4 separate regions of the Mus musculus genome follow, and all the other regions are reported to be linked to region 3. The links are microRNA targets in miRTarBase. Many come from high-throughput screens and were not tested one by one. Region 3 holds a microRNA gene; each other region holds the end of a gene's coding sequence.
Evidence for each region. The annotated mature microRNA mmu-miR-5116 reads UUUGAUAGGAACCCCGCCUGA and lies in region 3 at 1,940-1,960, opposite strand. An mRNA with a match to its seed (bases 2 to 7 or 8) in the 3' UTR can be bound and repressed. Matches are read on the target gene's strand: a 7mer-m8 pairs with bases 2 to 8, a 7mer-A1 pairs with bases 2 to 7 and ends in A, and an 8mer does both.

Region 1: the mRNA of Isg15 is a reported target of mmu-miR-5116. Seed matches in the 3' UTR shown: 7mer-A1 at 405-411.
Region 2: miRTarBase lists Ccdc71 as a target of mmu-miR-5116. Seed matches in the 3' UTR shown: 7mer-A1 at 697-703.
Region 4: miRTarBase lists Tnrc6c as a target of mmu-miR-5116. Seed matches in the 3' UTR shown: 7mer-A1 at 2,913-2,919, 7mer-A1 at 1,423-1,429 and 7mer-A1 at 1,217-1,223.

What each region holds. Positions count from the first base shown.
Region 1 is chr4:156,195,714-156,199,875 of GRCm38, reverse strand. It overlaps Isg15 (ISG15 ubiquitin-like modifier), which reads left to right. Exons shown (of 2, transcript NM_015783.3): 2 at 1-452. The coding sequence ends at 292. It overlaps Agrn (agrin), which reads left to right and starts at 2,388. Exons shown (of 36, transcript NM_021604.3): 1 at 2,388-2,662. The coding sequence starts at 2,456. It overlaps Gm46878 (a long non-coding RNA gene), which reads right to left. Exons shown (of 4, transcript XR_003955191.1): 4 at 373-1,358.
Region 2 is chr9:108,463,897-108,468,058 of GRCm38, forward strand. It overlaps Ccdc71 (coiled-coil domain containing 71), which reads left to right. Exons shown (of 2, transcript NM_133744.5): 2 at 1-2,050. The coding sequence ends at 395. Among named protein-coding and RNA genes, the nearest start is that of Ccdc71, 5.4 kb to the left of the region's middle.
Region 3 is chrX:56,585,953-56,590,114 of GRCm38, forward strand. It overlaps Mir5116 (microRNA 5116), which reads right to left and starts at 1,962; the gene lies at 1,900-1,962. It overlaps Mmgt1 (membrane magnesium transporter 1), which reads right to left. Exons shown (of 4, transcript NM_146234.4): 4 at 1-3,351. The coding sequence ends at 3,192.
Region 4 is chr11:117,760,175-117,764,336 of GRCm38, reverse strand. Tnrc6c (trinucleotide repeat containing 6C) reads right to left here. Exons shown (of 22, transcript NM_198022.2): 22 at 898-3,846. The coding sequence ends at 3,486. Among named protein-coding and RNA genes, the nearest start is that of Tmc6, 18 kb to the left of the region's middle.

The DNA of each region.
Region 1 (4,162 bases), not on the chromosome of region 3:
CAGCAGCACAGTGATGCTAGTGGTACAGAACTGCAGCGAGCCTCTGAGCATCCTGGTGAGGAACGAAAGGGGCCACAGCAACATCTATGAGGTCTTTCTGACGCAGACTGTAGACACGCTTAAGAAGAAGGTGTCCCAGCGGGAACAAGTCCACGAAGACCAGTTCTGGCTGAGCTTCGAGGGAAGGCCCATGGAGGACAAGGAGCTGCTGGGGGAGTATGGCCTAAAGCCCCAGTGCACAGTGATCAAGCATTTGCGCCTGAGGGGTGGGGGAGGGGACCAGTGTGCCTAAGGCCCCCATCCAGAGCCAGTGTTGGTTATAAAAGATGATGGGGGGGGGGGTATGGAGGACTTTTGGGATAGCATTGGAAATGTAAACGAGGAAAATACCTAATTAGAAAAAATATCAAAAAAAAAAAAAGATGATGCAATAAAAAGCTCTGCCTCTTGTTTGCTTGTCCCTCTCCAGAAATGCCCTTCTATCCATGGTGAGAAGGCTCTGGGTTGCCAAGTTAAGAGACAAGGATTTCACAGTGAGAGCCTAGTGAGGAAATGCCCCTTCCAGACCCTTTGAGTAATTAATTCACTTCTGGAGAAAGACACTTTTGCTGGGACCCAGTCCTTAGTCTCAGCCAGGCCCTAAAAATGTCCCCATGTCTACATATGGCTCAGGGACAGGTTAGGCCAGTTTCTACCAGTAGCAGGATGAGGCTCCTAATGGAACCAGTGAACTGCTGAGATCCTTTGGGAACAGTGAAGGAATGTTCTTACCTGGGTAAGCTGTGAAGGAGGGTGATGTGTTCTTTTGTATGTGTTCCTAGTCCCACCTGCACTAGTTCACAGAGGGTAGGATGGGGTCTCACCATTCAAATCAGCCACCTGCTGTTTAGGACATGGTAGTTAGCAAGTACACCTCATCCTCATCGGGGCTATAAAGAGGCCACTATAGGCAGGTTAGATGGGCACAAGTAATTGGAGGCTCATCTGTCCACAAAGGACATCATGTCTCAGATAGGAGGCACCCAATTTGAAAAAGCTTCACCCCCCTTTCTGCCTGATGGCTCTTTGTCTTTTCCTCTATCAGCTTACTCGGGCCTTTGAGTGCGCTTAGGGCACAAGCAAGTCAGTACAAGTCCTTCTGTGGTCCTTCAGACCTTTAAGAGAATTTGAGTGGAACCTCAGAAGACCCCCTTCTGGTTGGTGTGTTTGTGCTTATCTGGATTAGGTGATGCCAGATCTAGCAACGCTGGAGCCCACTGTGTAGATGCGACCTCAAATCTGGGTCCAGAAGGTGGAGTCTTTCTCAGGAGGAAGAGCTGCTGACACTCACACTTCACTCTGGCTTCTGGCTCAACAGCCTATGGAAGATAGCATAGTGTCTTCTCTCGTTTTTTTTTTGTTTTTTTTTTTTTCCAAAATTTTTTTCTTCACTTACATTTCAAATGCTATCCAGAAAATCCCCTATCCCCCCCCCCCCCACCCATTCTCTCGGTTTGTTTGTTTTGTTTTTGGTTTTTTGAGACAGGGTTTCTCTGTGTAGCCCTGGCTGTCCTGGAACTCACTTTGTAGACCAGGCTGGCCTCGAACTCAGAAATCCACCTGCCTCTGCCTCCCGAGTGCGCCACCACCGCCCTGCGCGTTCTTTCAACCTCCTGTAGGTCTAGTGCTAGCTTGGCTCCCGGGGGCCTCGGTTTATATCCTGCACTTAGCCAGGCCAAGCTGGGGAAGCTCTGGTCCACAGAGGGAGAGACGGAGGGGGCGGGGACGGTTCTGTAGCAAGACTGGAGAAGACTTAAGTCCACAAGGAGCATCACACTGGGCGGGTCTGGGCGCATTCGGCACAGTCACCGCTGACCGGCCATCGGCAGGGGGCGTGGCCTGTGGTGGCACCGGGACAGCCGCGGGGCCCTCTGCGCGCAGCCCTAGCGTCAGGCTGGGGAAGGGAAGGTCCGGCTCCGCCAGCGTCTCCTGTGCAGACCGGGCGAGCCCCTTGGAATTCCCAGCACGTCGCCCCTCGATTATACATCAACCTGACTTCAGCTGCATTTCCCGGTGGGAGGACAGTTCAGGCGGACGGGGGAGGGGCCCCGGCGCGACGCCTCCCCCTCCCCCAAGGCGGCCACCCACCCACCCACCCGGCCGAGCCCCCGCCCCAGCTCGGCGGGCGCCGCAGTCTCCGGGCTTTGTTCGCTGCCCGCGCGGGTCGCAGGGAGCGGGGGGCGGGCTGAGCCCTCAGGGGGCGGGGCGGGGCCGCCAGTCCCCGCCCAGTCCCCGCCCCGTCCCCGCCCAGTCCCCGCCCCACCCACGCCGTCCCCGCCCCGTCCCCGCCCAGTCCCCGCCCCACCCACGCCGTCCGCCCTCCCTCCTCCTCCGCCGCGCTGCGGTCCAGTCCTGCCCCCCGAGCGGTCCGGCCCGCGCGCTCTCCCGGCTCCCTCCCGCCGTTCCGGGCTGCGCCATGGTCCGCCCGCGGCTGAGCTTCCCGGCCCCGCTGCTGCCGCTGCTGCTGCTCCTGGCGGCGGCCGCGCCAGCCGTGCCGGGCGCCAGCGGGACGTGCCCGGAGCGCGCCTTGGAGCGGCGCGAGGAGGAGGCGAACGTGGTGCTCACCGGCACAGTGGAGGAGATCCTCAACGTGGACCCGGTGCAGCACACCTACTCCTGCAAGGTGGGCCCCGGCCGGACCCCACGAGACCCAGCCCTCTGGATTCCCAGCCCGGGGCTCCTCTCCCCCGTGGTCCCCGTCCCCGAGGCCCGCCCTTCGCGTGCCGGCCGCCCCGCTGCGACCCCGTCCCCAAGCCGTGGGAACGAACCCGGCACGTTTCTGCGGCCCCAGCTGGAGCTCCCTCGGCGACCGCCGAGCCTCCGGGGGGGGGGGGCGCTCGGGTCCCGGAAAACTCCGCCGCTCGGTGCGAAAGTTACTGCGGGGCCGCTGTGGCTCCTTTCACGGCGTCCAGGCCCCGGTTGCTGTCGTGCCCGCCCCCACCCTTGTCCAGAGCCCCTCTTTCTTGTTGGGAACAAGTGTACACCTTCGCCAAAAGGAACGAATAGGGCTCGGGGAGGCACGAGGGGGGACGAAGTCGACCTGTGGCGAGGCCTTTACCAGGGCGAGGGGTGGTCTGCAGGGAGTCAGGGGTGTGTGGTCTAATCTGCAACCCGGGGAGCCTGCGTAAGGTGCTGCAGCGAACGCGTGTCCGAGCCGGAGCAGAGAAATGGGCAGAGGGCTGTGGCTGAGTTTCCTGTGCTCGAGGCGCAGGGGCTCAAAGGACTGGGTTTCTCCTGCCATACGGTAGAATTAGCTCTGTTTCAACTGCAGCTGAATTTGAGAGCACCTTGGAATAGGTATGGGGTCGATACCCTCGGAATATCCGTTGCTGGTTCTCCTCGTCCCTCAAATCGCTTCGCTGGAAACAGGATTTGTTCTTACTCTTTGGGAATGAGAAGGATGGTGACTTCCTTCAGAGTACCGTGTGTTCATGGGATCCCCCCGCTGGGCCCCCTCCTCTCCCTGCCGAGGCACTTTGCCAAGTCCCTGCAGGATTTTCCCGACTTCCTCCCCGCTGCTCCTGGGTGTGGCTGGGGTGGGGGAGGTGTGAGAACTGTGAGCTTTCCCCCTTTGGGTTATCTCCCACAATAGTTGGGGGTGGGGGGCGCAGGTAGATAAAGTTCTTTAGGTGCTGCAAGTCTTAGGTGTCTCGCAGGAGCTAGGCAGGTGGAAAAGCTGCCCATTGTCTTTTTTGCTCCCTCCATTCCAGAACCCCAAATCCCCAGAGCGCCTCAATAAGGGGCTCCTTCCTAGAAATCCTTTCCAAAAAGTGTCTGGGGGCCCTGGACTTATCCTGTGGGCGCTGCGGGCTACATCTTCCAGCCATGTCTGTCAGAAAGGGTGCCCTCGGGGCCCTAAATAAGGAGGTGGAGGGTGGGGCTGACTTGCATTGCCCAAACTTGACTTTGTGGCTCAGAGCTGCCTCGCTGCACAGACTCAGGCAGACTATGGAGCAAAGAAGTGGGTCTTTACTTCCTGGGAGAGGTGTTGGCCCACACAAGGCTGTGAAGATCCCAGCTGGGATCTTGCTCTTAAGTCCTTTCACCTAAAGTGTCTGGTCCTGACTGGACCCTTAGAGTTGGACTTGGGCTGGATAGACCTGAGGTGGGACAATTGTTAGAT
Region 2 (4,162 bases), not on the chromosome of region 3:
GAGCCAAAGCCAAGGCCGCTGTGGTGAGGGACAAGGCAAAAGACAAGGTAATCCAGGCCAAGGCCAAAGCAGCCCAGACCAAGCACAAGGGAAAGCCAAAGGGATCGGTTCAGACCAGAACTGGAAGGGCAAACCGGAAAAACAGCTCTGAGACTGTGGGGCGGAAGAGGAAGAAGGCCGAGGAGACCAAGGGTCTTCCTCCTAAGAAGAGAGCACGGTGTGTGCCCCGACCTCCTAAGGTGTGGCTGGGGCCTGGAACGGCAAAACCTCGAAAGTCCCAGACCATAAAGGTAGACAGGAAGTGCTCAGATGACGAGGTCCGACAGTGTGCCCAGCAGATCCTCCGTGTGAATCTCTCTCCCGTGGTATGGCTCCAGCCCTTGCTACCATTTTGATCCCATACTCAACATCCCAAGCCCTTGCAGCAGTACTTGGGAAAACAGCGGAGCTGTCTGTGTGACCAGTGCATTGTGTAGTGCTCAGGACCCTGCTGCTTCCCGGATCCTGGGGACCTCGGGACTGGTCACCAACATCCTTTCAGAAACGGAGGATTTGGGTGGGGTGGTTTGCGGGAGGGGTGTTCTCATGGCTCAGTGCACTGTGACTTGTTCTTCAGATTGTATGTCCACGTTCATTCTATCATGTTTTATACCTTTCCACCTTGCGGTCTCCTTGCTCACCCTCCATGGTCTTATTTATCAAAAAAAAAAAAATTTTTTTTTTGGTGTGTGGGAGTTAGTGGCAAGAGGCTATCAGGAGTCTAGGAGCAGGCTTGGAGAGAGTGCCCTGGTAGCTTGAAGCAGGTCATCAATTTAAATGATAGGGTGACATTAAAGTGATGTTCTCGGGGTTCTGGAGAGATATGGGGAAAATCAGGTGCTGGTTTCTGGGAATGTGTTGAGAGAGATCCTGAGGGGAGGGTTAGAGCCACTACCTCTCCTCGAATGTCCCAGTTTTGAACCAGATGGGCCTGATTCAAAATTGTTTGCAGCTCAGTGGGAAATCCGGCACCAAGCAGGTTTTTAGGCCAGGGAAAGAAGTCTTTGTGGTGTTGCTCTCCGGAGGCCCAGCTTTAAGGTTTTGCCTGAGCTTCTCTTGGCGGAGGAAACATACTTAAGAGGCTTGAAGTGCCTCTTTTCTGCTTTACAGGGACTAGCCTCAATTTTCCCAATTGGTGACAAGAGGCTAGGCTCTGAATCTGGACCACAAAACCTTCCTTACTGTCCAGAGCATTTTCTCTGTGGTAACGGGTGATGGAACCAGGGACTGACTCATTTCCACAGGCTCCATCTTTCTCCGGGGTCCAGCCTCACCATGTCCCCTAACGTGACCCGTACACATTGGACATTGGTAGCTTCTGCTTTGGAGAAGCTGGGCCCTCAGTGGAAGCAGCTGCTCAGGCTGGAAGGTAGTGCTGAGGTGGAGAACCTGCAATCCTTGTACTTGGGGATTTGACTGAGTTTGAGGTCAGTATCAGCCACATAGTGAGACCCTCTCTGCCTGTCTTTTGTTTGTCTTTTGAGACCGGGTTTCTCTGTGTAGCCCCAGCTGTCCTAGAACTTAACTTTGTAGTCCAGGCTGGCCTCAGACTCAGAGATCTGTCTGCCTCTGGCCAATCACGGGAATTAAAGGCATGGGCCACCAGACCAAGCCAGGCGAATGAATGGCTTAACTCTACTGGTTAAGAGGATTTAGCTGCTTTCCCAGAAGACCCTTTTGCGACTCCCACAAAAGGCAGCTCACAGACCCCTGTATCCATCTCCAGGGATCTGGCATCCATGATCACAGGCAGACACCTGTATCCATCTCCAGGGATCTCGCATCCATGATCACAGGCAGACACCTGTATCCATCTCCAGGGATCTCACATCCATGATCACAGGCAGACAGACAATACAAATAAATCTTTTAAAAAAGACCAATGGCACAGCTGAATTAAGCATCAGTTCTTTGAGAAAAGGTGGTGTTGAGAATCTTGAACTTCAGTGATGTTGATAAGCAAAAGAATCGTGTGAAATACCTTAAATAAATACTTATTGGCCAGGCTGGAGAGATGGCTCAGAGGCTAAGAGCACTGGTTGCTCTAAAAGGACCTGGGTTCAATTCCCAGGACAGATCTGTGGTTACATGCATGCAGGTAAAACACCTCTGAGCTGAACTTTGGCTAGTTTGTGGGTTCTTTTTTTCTTCCACCCTTTTGACACCTTAACACTAGATAGAAGAGAAAAGGATAGAAGGAAAAGGGGGCAAAGTTATCATTATATTACTCCCTGCTGACTAGGGGCATTGGGACAAATTTGATCTTTGCCATCAGGATATCTAATTTCTTCTTTGCACATGACTACTTAACAAACTTTGGCCACCAACCTACCTTTGGGGCCTAACATTTATATACCCTGTGAAAAGTCCCCAGAATTCCAAACATCACACCATTGCAGAAACTACCTGCAGTTGGCAAAATCATGCCCCTGCTAGAGCATGAGGCACATCAGCTGCTGTGGACGGTCTGAAGCAGCCCCACATCCTATACCTGGGATTAACATGAAAGCATATTCTTACATTTCTGTGGGTTTTTTTTAAGGTTTATTTTATGTATATGAGTACACTGTTGCTGTCTTCAACAGACCAGACGAGAACATTGGATTCCATTACAGATGGTTGTGAACCACCATGTGGTTGTGAGAATTGAACTCAGAACTTCTGGAAGAGCAGTCAGTGCTCTTTTTTGTTTGTTTGTTTGATTGTCTTTCAAGACAGGGTTTCTCTGTGTAGCCCTGGCTGTCCTGGAACTCACTCTGTAGACCAGGCTGGCCTCAAACTCAGAAATCCACCTGTCTCTGCCTCCCAAGTGCTGGGATTAAAGGCCTGTACCACCAATACCCAGCTGCAGTCAGTGCTCTTAATTGCTGAGCCCTTTCTCCAGCCCCCTCTGTTTTTTTTTTTTTAAACAACAAAATATTCACAACACTTATACACCTATAAATGAATAAGAAGATACATCTACTGACTTTCGACTTTCCAACAAGAAGAAGACTAAGTAGACTGGGCTGGGAGATGCTTTAGGAGGTATTTTCTTTTCATGCAAGCATGAAGGGTTAAGTTCAGGTCTCCAGAACTAAACAAAATGCCAGGTACTGCCGGACAGAGGCAGGACCTAGGACTCACCGAACAGCCATTCTAGCCAAAATGACAAAACTACCTTCAATGAAAACTGTCTGGAAAACTAAGATGGAGGCTCAGTACTTAAGAACATGTGCTGCCCTCACACACAAATCTAGGACTAGAATTTGGTTCCCAATGCTCACATTAGGTGTCTCACAACCACCTATAACCCAGCTTCAGGGCATCTGATTCCCTCTTCTGTTCTCCATGGGCACCCACATTAAAAAGTTTTAACCTCGGGGGCTGGAGAGATGGTTCAGAGGTTACGAGCACTGACTACTCTTCCTTAGGTCCTGAGTTCAAATCCCAGCAACTACATGGTGGCTCACAACCATCCATAATGAGATCTGCTGCCCTCTTCTGGTGTGTCTGAAGACAGCTACTGTGTATTTACATATAATAATAAATAAATCTTTGGACCACAGCAAGTGGGGCAGGAGTGAGCAGAGGTCCAGATTTCAATTCCCAGCAACTACATGATGTCTCATAACCATCTGTACAGCTACAGTGTACTCATACATAAATAAATATTTTAAAAAATGTTAACCTCATCTCTTGCTGGGTGTGGTAGAATACACCTTTAATCCCAGCACTCAGGAGACAAGAGACTGGTAGTTTTTTGTCATTTCAAGGCCAACCTGGTCTACTTGGTGAGTTCCAAGATAGCCAGGGCTATGTAAAGACTGTTGGATGAGTATATGTGTGTGTGTATACATAAACACATATATATGCCTCCATCTCTCTTTGAGACAGGGTCTCACTATGTAGCTTTGAAGGACCTGGTGCTTGCTATATAGACCAGGCTAACCTTGAGTTCCTAGAGATTACTTGCCTCAGCCTCCCAAGTGCAACTTTTAAAAATCATAAGATTGGGAACTTGAGAGATGACTCTATTGTTAAGAGAGTTCACTGCTGTTGCAAAGGACCAGGGTTAGGTTCTCAGCACCCACAGCATAGCTCACAACCACTCATAACTCCAGTTGCAACAGATCCGATGCCT
Region 3 (4,162 bases):
AGTACTGTAAATAAAATTCTACTGAGCACACTTAGCACTGTTACAACACACCCAAATCTGACTTAGTCGTATAGTACCATATTTCAAGAAGATAGCAGAAATTCAATGAAGTCGATTTAAAAACCTGGGGCTATTTACCTGGTCTGAGGTATGCAAGCTGTCCAAAGGTGGACACGTCTAAATAAATTTACCATGTCAGTTATCGGCCAAATGTTTTAGCATTTTTTTAAGCAGGATTTTCTTGGCTGAGAAGACAAGAAGACATTTTAATATCCATTGTAGAAACGAGAATGGGCTGGGCACTGATGGTGCACGCCTTTAATCCCAACACTTGGAAGGCAGAGGCAGGTGGATCTCTGTGAGTTGGAGTCTAGCCTGGTCTACAAAGTGAGTTCCAGAATAGCCAGGGCTACACAGAGAAACCCTGTCTTGGCAAAACCAAAGCAGAGCTGGGAGGAACTAGAATGTAAGTTAGAAGCAGTAGTATAGAATGAATGTTTGGCTAGGAGGAAAAGTACTCTATTTAATAAGATTAACTCTAGAGTCTGCCAGGTATCTGGCTTTCCCTCTTTAAATCCATTGATTTATCAACTAGCTTTTTTTTTTCCTGGGATACTGTGAGTGAGCCTAGGGTCTCGCACGTGCTAGGCAAGCTTCCTACCAGATTTACAAACCCAGACACTTTCTGTCACTGTACTGGGTTCTGAGTTCTCAGAATGAGCATTTATCCCACGTAGGAAACCATATTTATGAAACTAAGTGACTAAATATTGCATTAACTCATTTATAGTAAATGATCAGATTATGCATATAATAAACTATTGGTTTCCTAGGACCTACGTGGGACAAACTGGGAGGAAATCAGAGGTGACTACTAAAGAATACAGGGCTTCTTGGAGAGGAGTGAAATGGCCTAGATTTATCAAGTGGTTGCATAATTTTGTGAGTATATTTAAAGTTACTTAATTGTACCCTTTAAAATTTGTATAACTTCTTTAAAGATAAGGTCTCACTGTGTATCTAATTCTGGTCTTGAACCTGTGTGAAAACTTTCCTGCCTTAGCCTCCTGAGTGTTAGTATTATAGGCATGAGCCACATCTGGCAATTATACATCCTTTAAAGAATGGAAGTACAAAACACGCAGATTCTCAGTAACATTGTTATGAAAACACATTAAGAAGGGAAAACAGTCTCCAAGGAGAAGAAAACAAGAGGCTCTTCAGTCAAGTAATAGTCGAGGAGTATGGCAGAAAAGCCTGATGTACAGCATGCGTCCTGCACGCCATTTTGATTTAGCTATCGCATTAGTCCTTGGGTTCGCTTTTTGGGGGTTGGGGTTAAGACAGGGGTTCATTAAGATAGCCCAGTTCTGCCCTAAACTTGTGATCCTGTTTCAGCCTTGTAAGTGCTAGGATTACAAGCACATGCCACCACACCTGGCTTGACTTCACACTTTTAGCCTATGTCTAAATTATTGTAGGTAATCAGCAGATTTCCAAGTTTGTTCTCATTAGAGAACAGTCAATGCTCCATAGACTTAGTTAGCAAAACAGAGCTCAAGAATCATAATTCAATGTCAAGGGCCTGGGATGTAGTTCAGCTGGTATAGTGCTTGCCTAGCATGCATGAGGCCCTGGGTTCAGTGCCCAGGATCTCAAAAAACCAGGTGTAGTGACAGCACCTATAATCTTAGCACTGACACGGTGGAGGCATGAGGATCATCCTCGGCTACATAGTACATTTGAGGCTAGCTCAGGTTATACGGAATCCTGTTTACAAACAAAAACCAAAACCAACAAAGAAATGACAAAATAACCTTGGCCTTTGAGGCTCTGTATGACTGGGCAGAAAGGCTGAGGTTCATTCCTAATCAAAAAATGCTACCAAGTAAAAGAGCTTCTCGATATGAAGACCCTGCCTGAAACAAACCAAAAAGCATCAGGCGGGGTTCCTATCAAAATCCGCAGTGATTCCCTTTACACCTATAGAGTTTAACACAAGTAATGTGTTCATGCTCGTGGGAAGCAATAATCTCTACAGTAATGTTGAGCTTCTTAGCTTTCTAGCTGAAAAAGCTACTCCAATGTTGTCAGAGTAAACTACTGTTTCTGAAAAGCATCCAATGGCATGTCATCCTCCCCCTCAGCACCGCAGAGTGAAGATGGGAAGCTCCAGGCCAGCTCTCAGTCAGAAGCTGAGAACCAACTTCCTAAATGACCTGAATTTTCTAAGAGAATTCAAATAGATGAACTCCAAATATTTAGAACATATTTGGCCCAGTTTCTTTGCACATGTGCCTTTAGATAAAATGAGCCATTTCCTTTACTTTCACTAATTCACTAGTTTAGTACAACATAAACCAACAGACTTATAATGAGTGAGACTGGCTAATGACGATCAGTTTTCCTCAATCAATACTATTCTACTCAGGCAAGATAATGAAGTCACAAGTTGTCTTTTTGGTCTACTTTCAACTAGTCTTACATTATACAATCAGTGAAAATTTTACAACAAAAGAACATGAGTAGTTTTACAGCAAGATGAGCTTGTTAAATATATATGTTATGATAGAATTTCTGACACAAAAATTGCTCACTGCACACAGAATCCTAGAAATGATGAAACAAGACAGCTTATGTTAGACAGTATCAGGGAGTGGAGTCCGGAGAGAAACCATTAATAAAGTAAAAATTGGCAAGTATCTGTAAAAGTAGAGTCACTTTTTAGGGGACCAAAGAAAAACTGTAAAGTCACCATTTTGGTCTTCTTAAAGAAGTTGGTCTGATAAGAACTGAAGACCATTTGATTCTTGTGCTGCAAAACACAGATGGTATATGGTATTTCCAGGATTCCTAAAAACTGTAGTGCAAAAGAAAAGAAATCTATGAAAATAAATAATCACAAAAATCCGAACATTTTTTCAGGGAATTATGTTTGAAACAGTGACTTTTACAAAACATGGGAATTGTTTCAAATCAACAAAAGAACTCTATACGAAAGTTCAAAGACTCATTTCACAGATAATTCATACTCCATTTGATCGGATCGATAATATATAAACAAGGGCCCATAGATTAGTTTAACTAGCTCTGAAATAGCAATATAAATACTGATCTTGGGGGGAGTGTTTTACACCCCAAACTCCAATACTCAATTCTGTGTCTGTCCTGTTATTTAATTTGTAAAAAGCTTAACGGCGCAGTGAGTCAAACTTTCGTAACTTCAACGATGTATTAGAGGACAATGCATCTAGGTTTGAAGAATTTGTTGCATCTGAAGGCCGGAACAGCACTCGACCACGATGGTTAAACACATAAAAAGATGGGTGATTCCTTAAGGTATCAAATGTCCTTAAAAGAAAAAAGAACACCAATTTTTAGATAAACCTTTATAAAAGCCCATTTGAAAAGTAAGCAGGCTTCTAATGAATTACGAATTTGTTGTGAATTACAAATTAAACTATAAATAGTAATCACACTGTACTGTATATTTTTTCCTATACAGAGAATATATGAAACTTGGAAATGACCATAAAGTTCTCAGACTTTCTTTTCTTCAGCCATTCTCCCAGGAATGTCTAGCAATAATAACACACACATTCTAGATGAACTTCAATCACCATACCACCTTTCCATGCCAGCACACACACTGCACCTCTGATTATTCTCCTTTGGCCTTAAGTCATAGATATTTCAAGCCATATGAGATTTCACGGATCTGTTTTTCAGGTACAATGAAATCCCGTTTGGCCTTCTGTATGTACTATTGACCAAACTCATCGATTCTGCTGCCCCTTACTTGATGCCATTTGGTTTGGCTCCTTGCCTGAGATCCTTCAAAGACTCTTCCAGTGAGATTTGTATCCTCTAGAAAAGTCCATAAACATCTTGAGATATTAATGGCTTCTCAAAACACTAATTTAATTAATTTAAAAAATTAAAAAAGTATTAATTTAAACACTTTTAGTGTTTGCTTTGAAATATTATTTTCTGAAAAAAACCAGAGAATCTTCTCTTTATGGAAAAAAAAGACCAAATCTCAAAGTTAGCCCCATTTAACCACCCAAGAATACCTTCAAAATGGAAATATTTGAGAGGCAGCTCAAGGATTAAAAACGTGTACTGCTCCTGCAGAGAACAGGGTTTAGTTCTCAGCAACCAT
Region 4 (4,162 bases), not on the chromosome of region 3:
AAGGCACAGCATTTCACAAAGACACCAGCCACTGCTGCTTTACCCCTAAGAGACGAAAGTACCTGAGCCGCAGGCTGCTACTAGTCTGGCCTTGCCTGCTCTTCCGCTGGTGCTCTGGCCAGCAGAGCTGCAGTTCTTGGAAGATCAAGGGCAGCGTGCCATTCTGAGTCTCGTTCTTCCTCTGGTCTTTGGGTTCTCCTGGGGCCAGGGGCCTCCTCAGTGATTTTCTTAGCAGAACTAGCAGCTCCTGTTCTTTCCTGAGTCCCCTGGTAGGCCAGGGCTCATCCTCAGCACATAGTGGGTCGATATTCGAGGGTGAAAGCTGACATCATGTTTCTACTTCCCGTGTCACCCATGATCCTGCTGGCAGCCATGCCATTTTGTGCACATTAGCCACTATGGTTTTAGGGGAAAGAGATCAATAAAACACTTGGGAAGCACATGTTGGGTCTTGCTGTGTTGTCTGACTTGGTCTTGAGCCTGTGGACTCAGGCACAGCCTCTTGTGTGCTGGGACTGCAGATACATACCACTGGTTTTTTCCAGATAGTGTTGGGGATGGAACTAGGGCCTTGTGCCTGCACACGAAGACCACTGAGCGACACCCCAGCCTCTCCATTACGATTACTGTTTTTTCTTAAAATGCTGGCACTGGGCGTGTGAGTGACTGTGGGGTGGTGGTCCTGGGAGGACGTGGAAGCTGGGACGCCTCCCAATGGCTACTAAAAGGATCCACTATTCGCAGCAGAACCAAAGAGCAAAGGCTACATACAAACACCTCAAATGGCCCAGACTGCGAGTTTCGGCAGAGACGAGTACAAACTCAGCAGAGACATAGTAGGCTGTCTCCACACATGAAAAGGAAGCACCTGCCTTTCACAGATGAAAGACACAGCAATTACATCAATAGCCAAGAAAAACTGCAGTTTATTAAGACTCAACAAAGCGCTGTTATTTTTCGAAAGCAACCTCCGGTGTGCGTCCAACCATCACATTCCAAGAGGAGGGCATTAAGCGCCACAAACTTTTTCTTTTAATCTTAGAGTCAGAGACATTTAAAATTCAAAAGGATCAAAAAGGAAAAAGAGGGGAAAGCCCACAAAAACTGGGAACATCTTTTCCTTCCATCCCCAGTTTTAAAACATGAGTTTTTCTACAACTCAGTGCTAAATGGCAGCATGGCAAGCTGTGCGTCTGGGAGCGCGCACACGCACGTATTTGATATACATACTTGGATATACATACATCAAATATCTAGGACGCACGTAATGGCGATGAGATGCAGTCACTCTGAGGAGGGCCATTCCGTGGGATACATAACAAAACTCGAACAAGTTTTGAACCCAGTTGTGCATAGTTCCTGATCCTCTAAGAAAGCACTGCGTTGCTGCAACCGTGCAGGACTTGCTTGCTTGCTTTCTGTTTTGATAAAACCATTAAAAAGCTAATTAAAAAATGTAATGCACAAGTTTCCCGACCACGTAGGCAGGGAGTACAATGTTCATATACTTTTCTAAAACATACTTGAGGGTGTGTGATTTCATTGTCTTTCTTCCTTGTAAAACAATCAAAACATTGATCATCTTTAAAACATAAAGCAATTTTTAATATATAAAGCACTCTTCAAACATCTATTTCTTTTGAGTCCATTATTTGGTAAATATGTAACTGCTACACATTAGAGATTAGGTATTTTTCTTCTTTGTGTGTGTGTGTGTGTTTTTTTCTTTTCTTTCTTTTTTTTTCTCTCTCTTTTTTTTTTTTTTTTTTTTTAAATAACATCTTCAGTGCTAGGAGTTGGGTTTAAAAATACATGAAGTGGTGTGGCACCGCCCTCGGGAGCCCTGGCGTTCCTGAGAGCGAGCTGGCGTGTGCAAGACAGAGACCACGAGGCCCTGTCACCTTGAGGAGGGGTGAAGACAGTCCACAGAGTCCGCGCACGCGCGACGGCTGGAGGGGAACAGCATGTCCCATCCCAGAGCTCTGGAGCAACACATCTGTATCTGAAAATAGGTTGCTGTTTGTTTGCTTGTTTGTTTTAAATGATGGAAGTCTTTTTTTTTTATTCCTTTTAACATTTTTAAAATTTTTTTAAAATTTTATTTTAAAGTCTGAAGGAGGAAAAAAAAAAAAAAAAAGTCTGTAAACAGGTGGGAGCCCAAACACAGCTCCTCCAAAAGCAGTCACCACCACGTCCAAGTGCTCGGCCGGCCGCCCGCCCGCCCGCGCCTCGTGCGCGGCACCAGTCTCTACAAGTATCTATGGCCACAGTTCAACAAGAGTTTGTTTTTCTCTTTAACTTTATATTGCAGATGGGAAGTGGTGCAATACTCTGGTAATAATCTTCTGCATGAGTCCACAATGACAAGCTGCTGAAGTAGACAGACACATCATTTCTCCAGAGATATACACTGCGACTTTAAATGCAACAACAGAGTCCTTGAGTAAACATTTACACATGAATTGTCACCAGCCCTGTCCCGAGAATTCTCTTTACTGTTTAGGATTAGCTAAAGGAAGGGCAGAGACACCTCAGTGCAAAGTTAGAAGCAAATAACAACAATGAGAACATTTGACCAATGCCAAAAACAAAAAACAAAACAAACAAAAACAAAAACCCCCAAAAAAACCAAAACCAAAAGCATATACTGACTAGAAGGGAAACCCACAGTTAAGTCCCTCACACACTCAAGTGCGCACGCACGCACAGGAAGCCCTGCCTGTGCAAGAACACACTCACACACACTCTTCTGCACACCGCACCACACAAGCACACAAGCACACGCACTCACGCATACACGCACATGTAGGCTATGAACGTAGACATTTCCTAGAGCCTGTTTCTGTGCACGGATGTCAACGTGGAAGTGTTCACATTTCGGTATTGGCCTGCTGGGTTCAAGTATTTGCATGTTTGATATGTCTTTTTTTTTTTAACTTTTAAAAAATATTTTTTTGGGATAAAAAAAAATGACATGAAAAGGTAACGAAACGAGGGTAATGTGCGCAGGCGATCGGGGGGACAGAGCACTGGCCACACGCCTCAGCTCTGTGCCCGCACAACGCAGCCCAGCCGCCTGTCCCGCCTACCGCCTCTGTAATGTGCATAATCGTCACAGGCTCACTTTAAATAGGCTTCAAGTCTCCCCCCACCCCACCATAAAATAACCCTTTCCAGCCCACAATCTGAAAAGTGCCCTTCATGATAGAACTATTCTAAGCAGCTTTTATACTTAAAACTCAAAATGGCAGCGCACTGTACAAACCTAAGACGACATGAAATAAAAAGCTATGAGAGACGTCCTGTCCTTAGCACATGACACTGACCAACCTCAGCCCGCACTGTCTTCAACAGTTCACAGGGGCCGAGGCCAAGGTTCATCTTCAGACTGGACAGAGGTACTCCAAGGGGCAGCTTGTCCGTCAGCTGGAGCTTCGGAGCCGGCCCTGGCATGGTCAGCTCTCTTCCCCCAGTGACCGTGGCCCCTAGATGGACTCGCCGCTGAGCAGGTCCCCAGGCAGCAGAGTGTTGAGAGGCGTGGGGCTGCCGATCACTCTGGCGTCCTCAGCACTGGGCGGGCCCCACAGGCTGCTGGAGTACTGGGGGACCCCACCCCACAGCAGCTCACTGCTGCCTTTGCCACTCAGGCATGGGGTGTTCCAGTGGGCAGTGTCGCTGCGCACTAGGCCATGGGTGCTGCCCGAGGTGCCCAGTCTGGGCTGGCTGCCCCCGCTGCTGGACTGCCAGCTGGAGGTGGGTGGGAGGGCTTGGCCTTGGGCCAGGAACCGGTTCACTTCTTCTTCCCCGGCAAACTCAGCCAAGATGGTGGTGTTTCCCAGTACACACCTACAAGGCAAGAGGCTGGGTAAGTATGTCACCCTTCGTCCTGAGTCTGTACTACTCGTGAAGACGGATAAAAGGATCGCCACGTCCCAGGCTACCAGCCTGTGCCTGTGTCTCCCTCACTTTAGACTCCCACAGCCACAGAAGACTCATGTGTGGAGTGTGCGTTTCAAAGTGCTGCACAGGGGCTGGCGAGATGGCTCAGCGGTTAAGAGCACTGACTGCTTGTCCAAAGGTCCTGAGTTTAAATCCCAGCAACCACATGGTGGCTCACAACCACCTGTAATGAGATCTGACGCCCTCTTCTGGAGTGTCTGAA